2 linked regions of the Arabidopsis thaliana genome follow. The protein of the gene in region 1 interacts with the protein of each later gene in a pairwise test. Each region holds a gene or a part of one and is shown on either strand. Other genes may lie near its edges.

What was found.
Region 2: the proteins of RD28 (region 1) and LPAT4 interact in a protein complementation assay, tested with the Arabidopsis thaliana proteins (one large-scale study listed by BioGRID).

Annotation. Positions count from the first base shown.
Region 1 is NC_003071.7:15,615,678-15,619,746, reverse strand, and holds RD28 (Aquaporin-like superfamily protein), read right to left. Parts: upstream 2,113-4,069; 5' UTR 1,969-2,112; coding exon 1,668-1,968; intron 1,547-1,667; coding exon 1,251-1,546; intron 1,160-1,250; coding exon 1,019-1,159; intron 930-1,018; coding exon 810-929; 3' UTR 592-809; downstream 1-591. Other genes in the region: AT2G37190 (Ribosomal protein L11 family protein), read left to right, coding at 1-188.
Region 2 is NC_003070.9:28,169,029-28,174,458, forward strand, and holds LPAT4 (lysophosphatidyl acyltransferase 4), read left to right. Parts: upstream 1-1,815; 5' UTR 1,816-2,089; exon of another isoform or gene 2,090-2,721; 5' UTR 2,722-2,750; coding exon 2,751-3,319; intron 3,320-3,570; coding exon 3,571-3,701; intron 3,702-3,892; coding exon 3,893-4,329; 3' UTR 4,330-4,650; downstream 4,651-5,430. Other genes in the region: ARC3 (GTP binding protein), read right to left, coding at 87-151, 313-371, 597-913; TLP-3 (thaumatin-like protein 3), read left to right, coding at 5,390-5,430.

The sequences.
Region 1 (4,069 bases):
TCTCGTTTGATGATGTGACTGAGATTGCTAGGATCATGAGACCTAGATCTATTGCTAAGGAATTGAGTGGAACAGTGAGGGAGATTCTGGGAACTTGTGTGTCTGTTGGTTGTACTGTGGATGGGAAAGATCCTAAAGATATTCAACAGGAGATTCAAGATGGTGAAGTTGAGATTCCTGAGAACTGAAGAATTTGGAAATGATGGTGTGTTTGTTTCCTTTGCCTTTTGAGATTTTAGTTTCTTCTTCTTATGTTTTGTTTAGAACAACGACAAGTCAGTTTTGGATTGTTATTGCTGCTTTTTTATCTAATCTCAATTTTATGCTTATGCTTAGTTTCTTTCAATTTTATACGAAATGCTTGAACTTGCCTTAGGAAATTGAATCTGCGTTTAGTATCGTATCTTGCTGATAATCTAGAAGAACATTGATTCGTGATTCGTCTCTCTTGGAATGTTTGTGAAGCTAAATTGTAGAAATGAAGAAGAACAATGGCAATGCTTGTAGTTCATTCATCTGTATTCGCTAAATTGTGTTTGCCTCTCTTAAATTGGTTTCTTTGTTCTTCATCTCCCATTCAACACATTGTGTAGGGTATATAATCGAAGAAAAAGTTGTCTTTCTCGATTTTTTTTCTCAATACACCAAACTTACATACGTTGCAAAGATGAATTGAAAAACATTTCACTCGATTTAATATGGAATCACACAGTTAGAAATAGAAAATAGGAAGAAGCTAAGATACGAGTGGAAAAGAGGATATGTTTCTACATAATTGTAGGCACACTTTTTTTCTTTCGTGGCTAAGTTTAAACGTTGGCTGCACTTCTGAATGAACCGAGGGACTTGGAGCCTGAGGCCCTTAGAACGAATTGGTGATAAAATGCAGCTATCGTAGCTCCAATGAATGGTCCCACCCAGAATATCCACTGTAATTATGTAAGACCAAAAACACTTTAGTATTTTTCCTCCGTCCATAATTTGATTAATTTTAAATAATTAAGAAATAGAAACGTACGTGGTCATCCCATGGCTTGCTCTTGTTAAAGATTACGGCGGCTCCGAAACTCCTAGCCGGGTTGATACCGGTTCCGGTGATCGGAATAGTGGCCAAATGTACCATAAACACCGCAAACCCAATCGGAAGTGGCGCCAAAACCTTTCGTTTCATAATTCATAACCCAAAGTATTAGTTAATGATATCATGTAATTAACTAACGATCTTATAACTGATAAAAATAAATACTAACCGGAACGTGGGAGTCTCTAGCGTTGCGTTTGGGATCAGTAGCGGAGAAGACTGTGTAGACAAGCACGAATGTTCCGATGATCTCTGCCGCGAGTCCGGTGCCTGTATTGTAGCCGTCAGCTAGAAAGTTGGCTCCTCCACCGTAATTAACATAGTGAGAGCTTTGAAATGCCTTCACAAACCCAACTCCACAAATAGCACCCAAACACTGAGCCACCATGTAAAGCACCGCCCTAATCAGCGATACCTTCCGGGCTAAGAACAAACCAAACGTCACCGCAGGGTTTATGTGACCACCTACAAAGTTCTTGGGGTTAATTTCAAATAAATTACAAAACAAAGGACAAATTTGAAAGGTCCACAAATGTTAAATTTTCTGAACCGGGTAATAAACCGGACCGGTTTCGATATATGATACCTGAGATACCGGCGGTGCAGTAGACAAGGATGAAGATCATGCCACCAAAAGCCCACGCGATGCCAAGGATTCCGACGCCGCCGCAGTCAACTCCACCGGCTTTTGTGTCGGACTGAATCTTGTAACCAATGACAGTTAAAACGGTGACGTACAAGAAGAGGAGAGTGGCTACGAACTCGGCGATGACTGCTCTGTATAAAGACCACTTGGTAAGCTCCTCTGCGTCGAAAAACGGTGTTGGCGGAGGATCTTCGTAATCTCTCGTCTGAAATCCATCAGGTCCTTCCACGTCTTTAGCCATATGTGTTAATGGATGTTTCTGGACTTTCTAAGTAAGTGTTTTGCTTTGTGGTTGTTGTAGGGCTTGTGGTTGTGAGATGAAGAATAAAGGTTCTTTATATAGAGTGAGCTCTTGGTTTGTGCTACTGTTGATTTTGACACTTTTGATTTAATGTCACAACTTACAACATTGATGTTTTGTTTTATGGTATTTTTTTTTGTAACGAATGCATAAGTTGGTTTAGTGGTAATTTTTTTTTTTTGCTAAAGAAGTTGGTCAGTGGTAACTAAAGGAAATCTAAAACAAGTATTAATTTTTTTTTTATCTCAGTAACTTGATAATCTAAATCAGTGAGAACCAATACAAAAAATCTCCTAAAGATATAATTTAACATTTCCTGAAAAGTTTATACAAATAGTATAAATCTCATACTGTAATTCATTTCCAAATAACTAGATTGTTAAATGCTACTGATAGATCACCGTCCCAAGAGTCACGTCATTAAATTTTGTTAGGCATCACCCAAAAAATTTGACCGTTGACAAAAAACCAAAAACCGATAAAACGTGAGCAATTATATAAGTGAACATATTTGACAATGATGATCATATATACTTGTGTGTTAACATACATACCTTATCTTTTAGCTGTATCCACATTGCATATACTGTAGGTGCTTTTTAAGTTTTTGATAAATAATGATTTTATATGATTAGTAAAGTATTTGTCTCGATCGTGTCACACGATTCTTTTGTTTTTCTGCCGTTTCAAGCACATTCTGGATCATTCGTGCATCTTTTTCATGATAGTTGGTAAACATATAGTATATATAGTAAGCGAATATTTGTATAGGAAAATGAAATGGTATTTTAGGTCATTTTGTATAATAAGTTAAATAACGCATAAATACGTAATTTATTTGAGACTTAACTTTTTCGGTGTAAGCTGAGTGTTAAATCTGTCATAGGACACTACAATCAAATTATAACTCTATATATACTCCATCGACTATATATTGACTCAACATATCATGATAGAATTACATATGAGTCAGATGTAATTTTATGATCTGTTATTGTGGATTCATTGTTAGCAAGCATATATATACGTGTGTTCAGAAGACTAAAAAATTTACTATGAAATGAAAGAACATTTATTTGTTTGGAACAAAAAATGTTTATCATAACAAATTAACCCATTTTTCCACAGAGAACAATACCATTCGTAACCAATATCGAGTAGACAATTCTTTAACAAAACAGAAAGCGACAAAGATGAAAGAAAACAAAAATAAAACCAGGGGAGAGACCGAGAGAGAGAGAGCACCTTTCTGACGTGGAAATATAATCCAATAAGAGCAGAGAAATGTCGCTACAACGATAAGGATATTGTGACGTGGCAAAACATTGGCCATGAACACCACATTACACCACATTCCTTTTGTCTATGTACACTTTTTATTTTTCCAATTTATTTTTGTAGACAGACTAGTGATTAGTGAATACTGAATAATATACGTAAGAAAATTGCAATTGGAAATTTGGAATTGAGGAGTGAGAGCAAATGATTGTTGAATATGGGGACTAAACAACGTGGCATAAGAGGAGTGGTTGGGACGGCTGAACTGGAGTTGGACTTAATCTGTATGGACGGTGCCGATGCAATTGACGGAGCTAATCAATTCTATATGGGGCGGTTTCTCCGGTCCAGTGGACCCAACTTTCATCATATTTTCTACTTTAGTGGAAACATAACCCGTGAAGCGACGCCGTTTCTTTTATCATGTCCATGTGATAAATTATGTTTTTGTTATATGGTAGGGTTAGCTGAGAGCTATCAAAAGACTCTTTTTTATCCACCTAATAGATTTGATTTGTAACGTTAAGAGCATAGGAAGTCAATTTAATCGTTACTAATTACATGCATAAGAACTAGTATAACTATATAAGGAGCTCCTTCTAGAAATTAAATGAAGGATGATAGAATCTAGATAATCAGAAATTTTACTATTGATCAATCTAGCTATCTCGTAGTTCAAAAAGCTTTATCGTTAACAAGTAACAACTTTCAAGTATTGCCCAAATAGATAAGGTTCATAACTTCATATTTTTTATTTATTTTA
Region 2 (5,430 bases), on another chromosome or scaffold:
TTGCTACCTATGGAACTGCGAAATTCAAAAACGTTTTTGTAGCAGAAAACAGAACACAAACAATGTTAGGCGAGAAAAGTACAAACAAGGATGAAGGCCCTTGGACGTGACTGTAACAGCTCAATTGGATTCATGGTCTTCAAGGCATTATCTGTAAACAGAAAGAGAGAAGCGATAAGTAAGAAAGATAGCATATCCCTCTAATCTTCTTGAACAACTAGCTAAATATATGCTAGTTGTTCAAGAATCTGTTTTTAATCAAATTCAAAACTCAAACGGCAAGAAGAAACAGGAAAAGAATAGATTATGGACCTTGGTGATTGAGCCTCTGCTGTAACACTAAACCTCCAGAGCTGTCCTTGCTAATACTCCTGAAAAAGTAGATTTGGCAATTAAATTTGATCCCTTTCACGAATACACAGAGCGTACGTAATCAATTCAAGCCATAAGCTTCGTCACTAGAAGAAAGCTACACAATTTAGGAGTGTGCTAGGAAAGTCAGTAACAATAAACTATCAGATTTCGAAAATTAGACTACAACAAAGTGGCTAGTAGATAAAACAGAATCATGGGCCGAACAAAAGTCGAGCATATACCAAAATCGCAGAGGAAGAGAAGGAAAAGGAGAATCCAAGCATGAATCCATGATAGACTCCTTGCGACTACCGATGACAAGAACCTCAATGAACTCGTCAGACCCATCTTCTCCAGCTCTCTCGCACGTCTCTATCGGAGCAGAATCCCTCACTAAGCACATCACGCAAATCCGACGCGCCTTTCGAGATGTACAGTTCAATCGCGTCGTAGCACCAAGGGACGAAAACGGAACTCCAAAAGTAGGAAGTAAAGCTAAACGAGAGAACAATGGTACTCGGAGAGTAGAGAAAACTGGAAGTTCCATAGAAATCGGCATTGCTCCGCTTCTACGGAACCACTTCTTAGAATACAGAACAATTTAATAAGTCACATGAAATTGATAGATGATGAGATTCGGTCGGAGCATAGCATGTCTGAAGTTCTCCCGATAATTCTGAAGCAGAAGAGGGAAGAGTGAGAAAAATATCAAGTTCGCCGGCACCGTGAACTGATTATTTATTCATTAACCCTTATATTACTACTTATTTTAGTTTTGACCTCATATTTGTTTTTATTGCTTATGTACCCCTACTGTAAGTTGACGAATCGGTGGCGGAGATTAACTTTTGAACCGATCAATCACATCCTCATATTTGGTCTACTATCACTTTTAATAGTTTACTTTCTTGGTCAATGATATATTTTATAATCAAATTGTTTCATTATAATAAAGAAAGAACTTATCTTAGTCTTCTACAATAATGAGTCCAATATATTCACTAAACAAACAGTTCTTTCTTAACAACAACTAGAGAAAACAATTTCAAGGAAAAATTTTACTTAGAAAAAATCAACTAGACACGATTTTTTCTTCAGCATTTTATACATGAATTGTTATATTTTTTTGGATATAACTTTATCTTAGAAGAAAATATACTTATACCATTGTAAAAATAAGGGAATTTGGTCAAAAATTCCAAAAAAAAACTTATACTATTGTAAAAATAAAAATAAATGACATCGAAATAATTAATAAAAACATCTGGTCCCCATGAAACTCGTATATTAATACTTCAGATCCAAAATTTATGAAAAAATATCAAGCTCAATGTATTAAATTAAAAAATATAAATCATTAAAAGCTAGATTTTATTCTTGTTTGGTACAACCAATAATAATAAGTGGGGAAAAGTATTAATTAGAGTTTGCTTCACGTTTGAGTTTCACAAAAAGTGTAACGACGCCAGGAGAATTTTATCGGGTCGCAAGTGTCACCTTTGTGGATTTTGTCTTCCCTGCAACTTTTGACCTTTTCGCACTCAGCGAATCAGATCGCTATAGTACGGTGCACCCTACCGTCTCTGATCATCCCCACTGTCTTAATTAGATCCGACCCGAAACGTATCCTTCTCTGAAACTTCGTTTGAGATTCGCATTCCTCTGTTCTTCCACCATTTAACAATTATCCTCTTTTGTCTTCGCCAACTTCTTCCGTTTCTTCATACTTCTCCAGGTACTTCGTCGAGTTCCTCGTGCTTTAGATTGTTTTTGCTTTTTTCGAAGATACGTGAGAGAAGTGTTTCTCTTGCTCTGTCTCTTCTTTGATCTTATATCACGTGGGATCTGATTTTTTAGTTGCGGTATTCACAAGTCTTTCCCAATTTGAGGATGTTTTGTCTCCGTGATTTCTGTGTTTTTGTTTTGGAATATTGATGATTATAGATTCGAAATTATGCAGCTTTAGATACTAACTAAATGACGAATCTTTTCTCATTATTCGCTTGTTGAATCTTCCACTGAGCTCATAGATAAGGAATTCTCTGTTCATTGTTGCTTTTAGAGCTTAATTCATGTTCCTGAGATTCAAATTTGCAACCTTTTTCCCACTTATGTAAGAAAAAATGGCTTTTTATATATTCTTCATTCATGGCTGTGTTGATTAGGAATCTCTAATCTCTATGTCTACTGTTAGATTAATTGTTTGGTATTGATACTCAAATTGCATATATTTAGGTTCTTGCATTGGTTTTTTATAGTATCTTTTCTGCAACTGAGTCTTTGTATTTACCAAAAAAAGAAAAAAACTCAATCTTTGTGGGGAACTTAAAGGTGGCACTGAGTAATATTTGAATCTCATTGCTGCAGTTTTGTCTTGAGGTTTATCTGGAAAAAAGATGGAAGTTTGCGGGGATCTGAAATCTGATAACTTAAAGAACCGCCCCTTGACTCCGCTTAGGATTCTGAGGGGCTTGATGATCCTGCTGGTGTTTCTGTCTACTGCTTTTATGTTTCTGCTGTACTTTGCACCAATAGCTGCTCTAGGTCTACGGCTTCTGAGTGTGCAACAATCTAGAAAAGTTGTTTCGTTAATCTTTGGTCTCTGGTTAGCTTTGTGGCCTTACCTGTTTGAAACGGTTAACGGGACAACTGTGGTGTTCTCTGGAGACATCATTCCGGTTGAGAAACGTGTTTTGCTTATTGCAAATCACAGGACGGAGGTGGATTGGATGTATCTGTGGAATATTGCCTTGAGAAAAGGCTGTCTTGGCTACATCAAATACGTGCTCAAGAGCAGCTTGATGAAATTACCTATTTTTGGTTGGGGCTTTCATGTTTTGGAATTTATCCCGGTGGAGAGGAAGCGGGAGGTCGACGAACCTGTTTTGCTTCAAATGCTTTCATCTTTTAAGGATCCTCAAGAACCCTTATGGCTTGCTCTATTCCCTGAAGGAACCGATTTCACGTACTATATGCTCCCTATCTGATTTAACTGCTCTAGATATATTAGCTAATACATTATTAATCTGAATCTTCGAAGATATCTTTCAGTTTCTCTTTGGTAGGATATTTAACACCATGCGCATCTGTCTTGCAAATATCTTAAACCAGTCACCCTCATTTACAATAATTTGCCTGCTATTGCATGAATGTTTGAAATGCTGCTCTTAGTATATCTTCTTTCTATTACTGAGACCTTCCTTATTTGATATGCAGTGAAGAGAAATGCAAGAGAAGCCAAAAGTTTGCAGCTGAAGTTGGTCTTCCAGCACTATCAAACGTACTTCTACCAAAAACAAGGGGTTTTGGCGTTTGCTTAGAAGTTCTTCATAACTCTTTGGATGCAGGTATGGTTCATGAAATTTTGTTACAAATGTTGGTGTACATATAGTAGTATCTCAAGCCACATGTTATGCAAACACTTATGTGTTTTGACGACATTATGATGGCGTGCATATCTTCTATTTTTCCAATGACCCATGTGGGACCTCATGACCACAATTAACTGAACAAGGCATTTCCTTTTATTGCAATGCAGTATATGATTTGACTATCGCATATAAACCTCGCTGCCCATCTTTCATGGACAATGTATTCGGGACGGATCCTTCAGAAGTACATATCCACGTTCGGCGAGTTCTACTAAAGGAGATTCCAGCAAACGAGGCAGAATCTTCTGCTTGGTTAATGGATTCATTTAAGTTGAAGGACAAACTGCTATCCGATTTCAATGCTCAGGGGAAATTCCCCAATCAAAGACCAGAAGAAGAACTCTCTGTTCTCAAGTGCATTGCAACATTTGCAGGGGTAATATCTTTGACAGTAGTGTTCATATATCTGACCTTGTATTCACATAGCTGTTTCAAAGTATATGCTTGTCTAAGCGGCACATATTTAACTTTTGCTACATATTACAAGTTCCAACCCTCACCTGGCTGTTTTAGAGAAGATTCTTGTAAAGTTAAAAACCATTAACTTTGTTGTAAATACAATTCTTTCTTTGTATACAAAGAAATAATATTACAGGCAGAAAATATCTCTGGGATGCCTTTTTCATTGTAAGTTCTTTGATCTTCAGTTAGTTAAAATTGTATTCCATGTTGTTCTCTTGAAAGTTGAAACTCACATAGATAGTTTGTGTAGTCTTTAGTCACATTTTGGTTATGTCAAATTGTTTGAGTCTTGCAAGTGCCACTGTTAGCACTTTTCATTCAAAACTGTCACGGAGCAAACAGAATTTGGAAGGAAAAGTTGATATGTTGGAACTGTAGAACTCTTGTGTTTATTGAGTTAGAAACAACAACAGGTCACTAAACCATCTTGTCAAAAGGTGTTCTTACTTCTGAATCAGTCAAGTAAAGGAAGTTTCCATCTGAGCAAAACTTTGTCGGTGATCGACAAAGCATAGTAGAACCCACTTTGTCCCAAAAGAATGTTACCTTCTTTTTGCAGGTGATGAAAAAGAGAGTAAGAAGGCCGTTGCTCAGCACCCTTTCACTGATACATTGGATCATCTTTTTCAGGTAGAGCATAGCATCTCCTGTTTTCTTTATATGCATATCTATAACTTGTCCACGTGTCATCTTATCTCTTTATATGAGTAGGTGCAGATGAGCTCAGGTTAGTTTTGACTAAACCAACTTTCATGAACTTTCTTTACTTTTTTGGTTGGGAAAGATTTGAGAGGCACAAAACAAAACAATGTCTATTGATACATTTCTCTTAGGACAATACAAGCTCATGTAGAATTGTAATTCTATATCTAACCACACAAAGACACATGTACAATTGTAATCGATAACTATGAGACATAATCTTCTTTTTATTAACGCAAGAAAAAAAAAATCATCAAGGCAAATAAATGTTACACTGACAAAGAAAATGGGCTAACAGAGTAGGCACAGAAAATTATAATTAATTGAAGTTGATAACCCTAACTTTAAACCTCTGAGTCTCCAGCACTTATAAATAGAGAATCGGTGCCAGAGATTCATCATCATCCACATCACATAAACACAAAATCCGGTTTTTAATAATGGCGAAAATCTCCAGTATTCACATTCTCTTCTTCGTCTT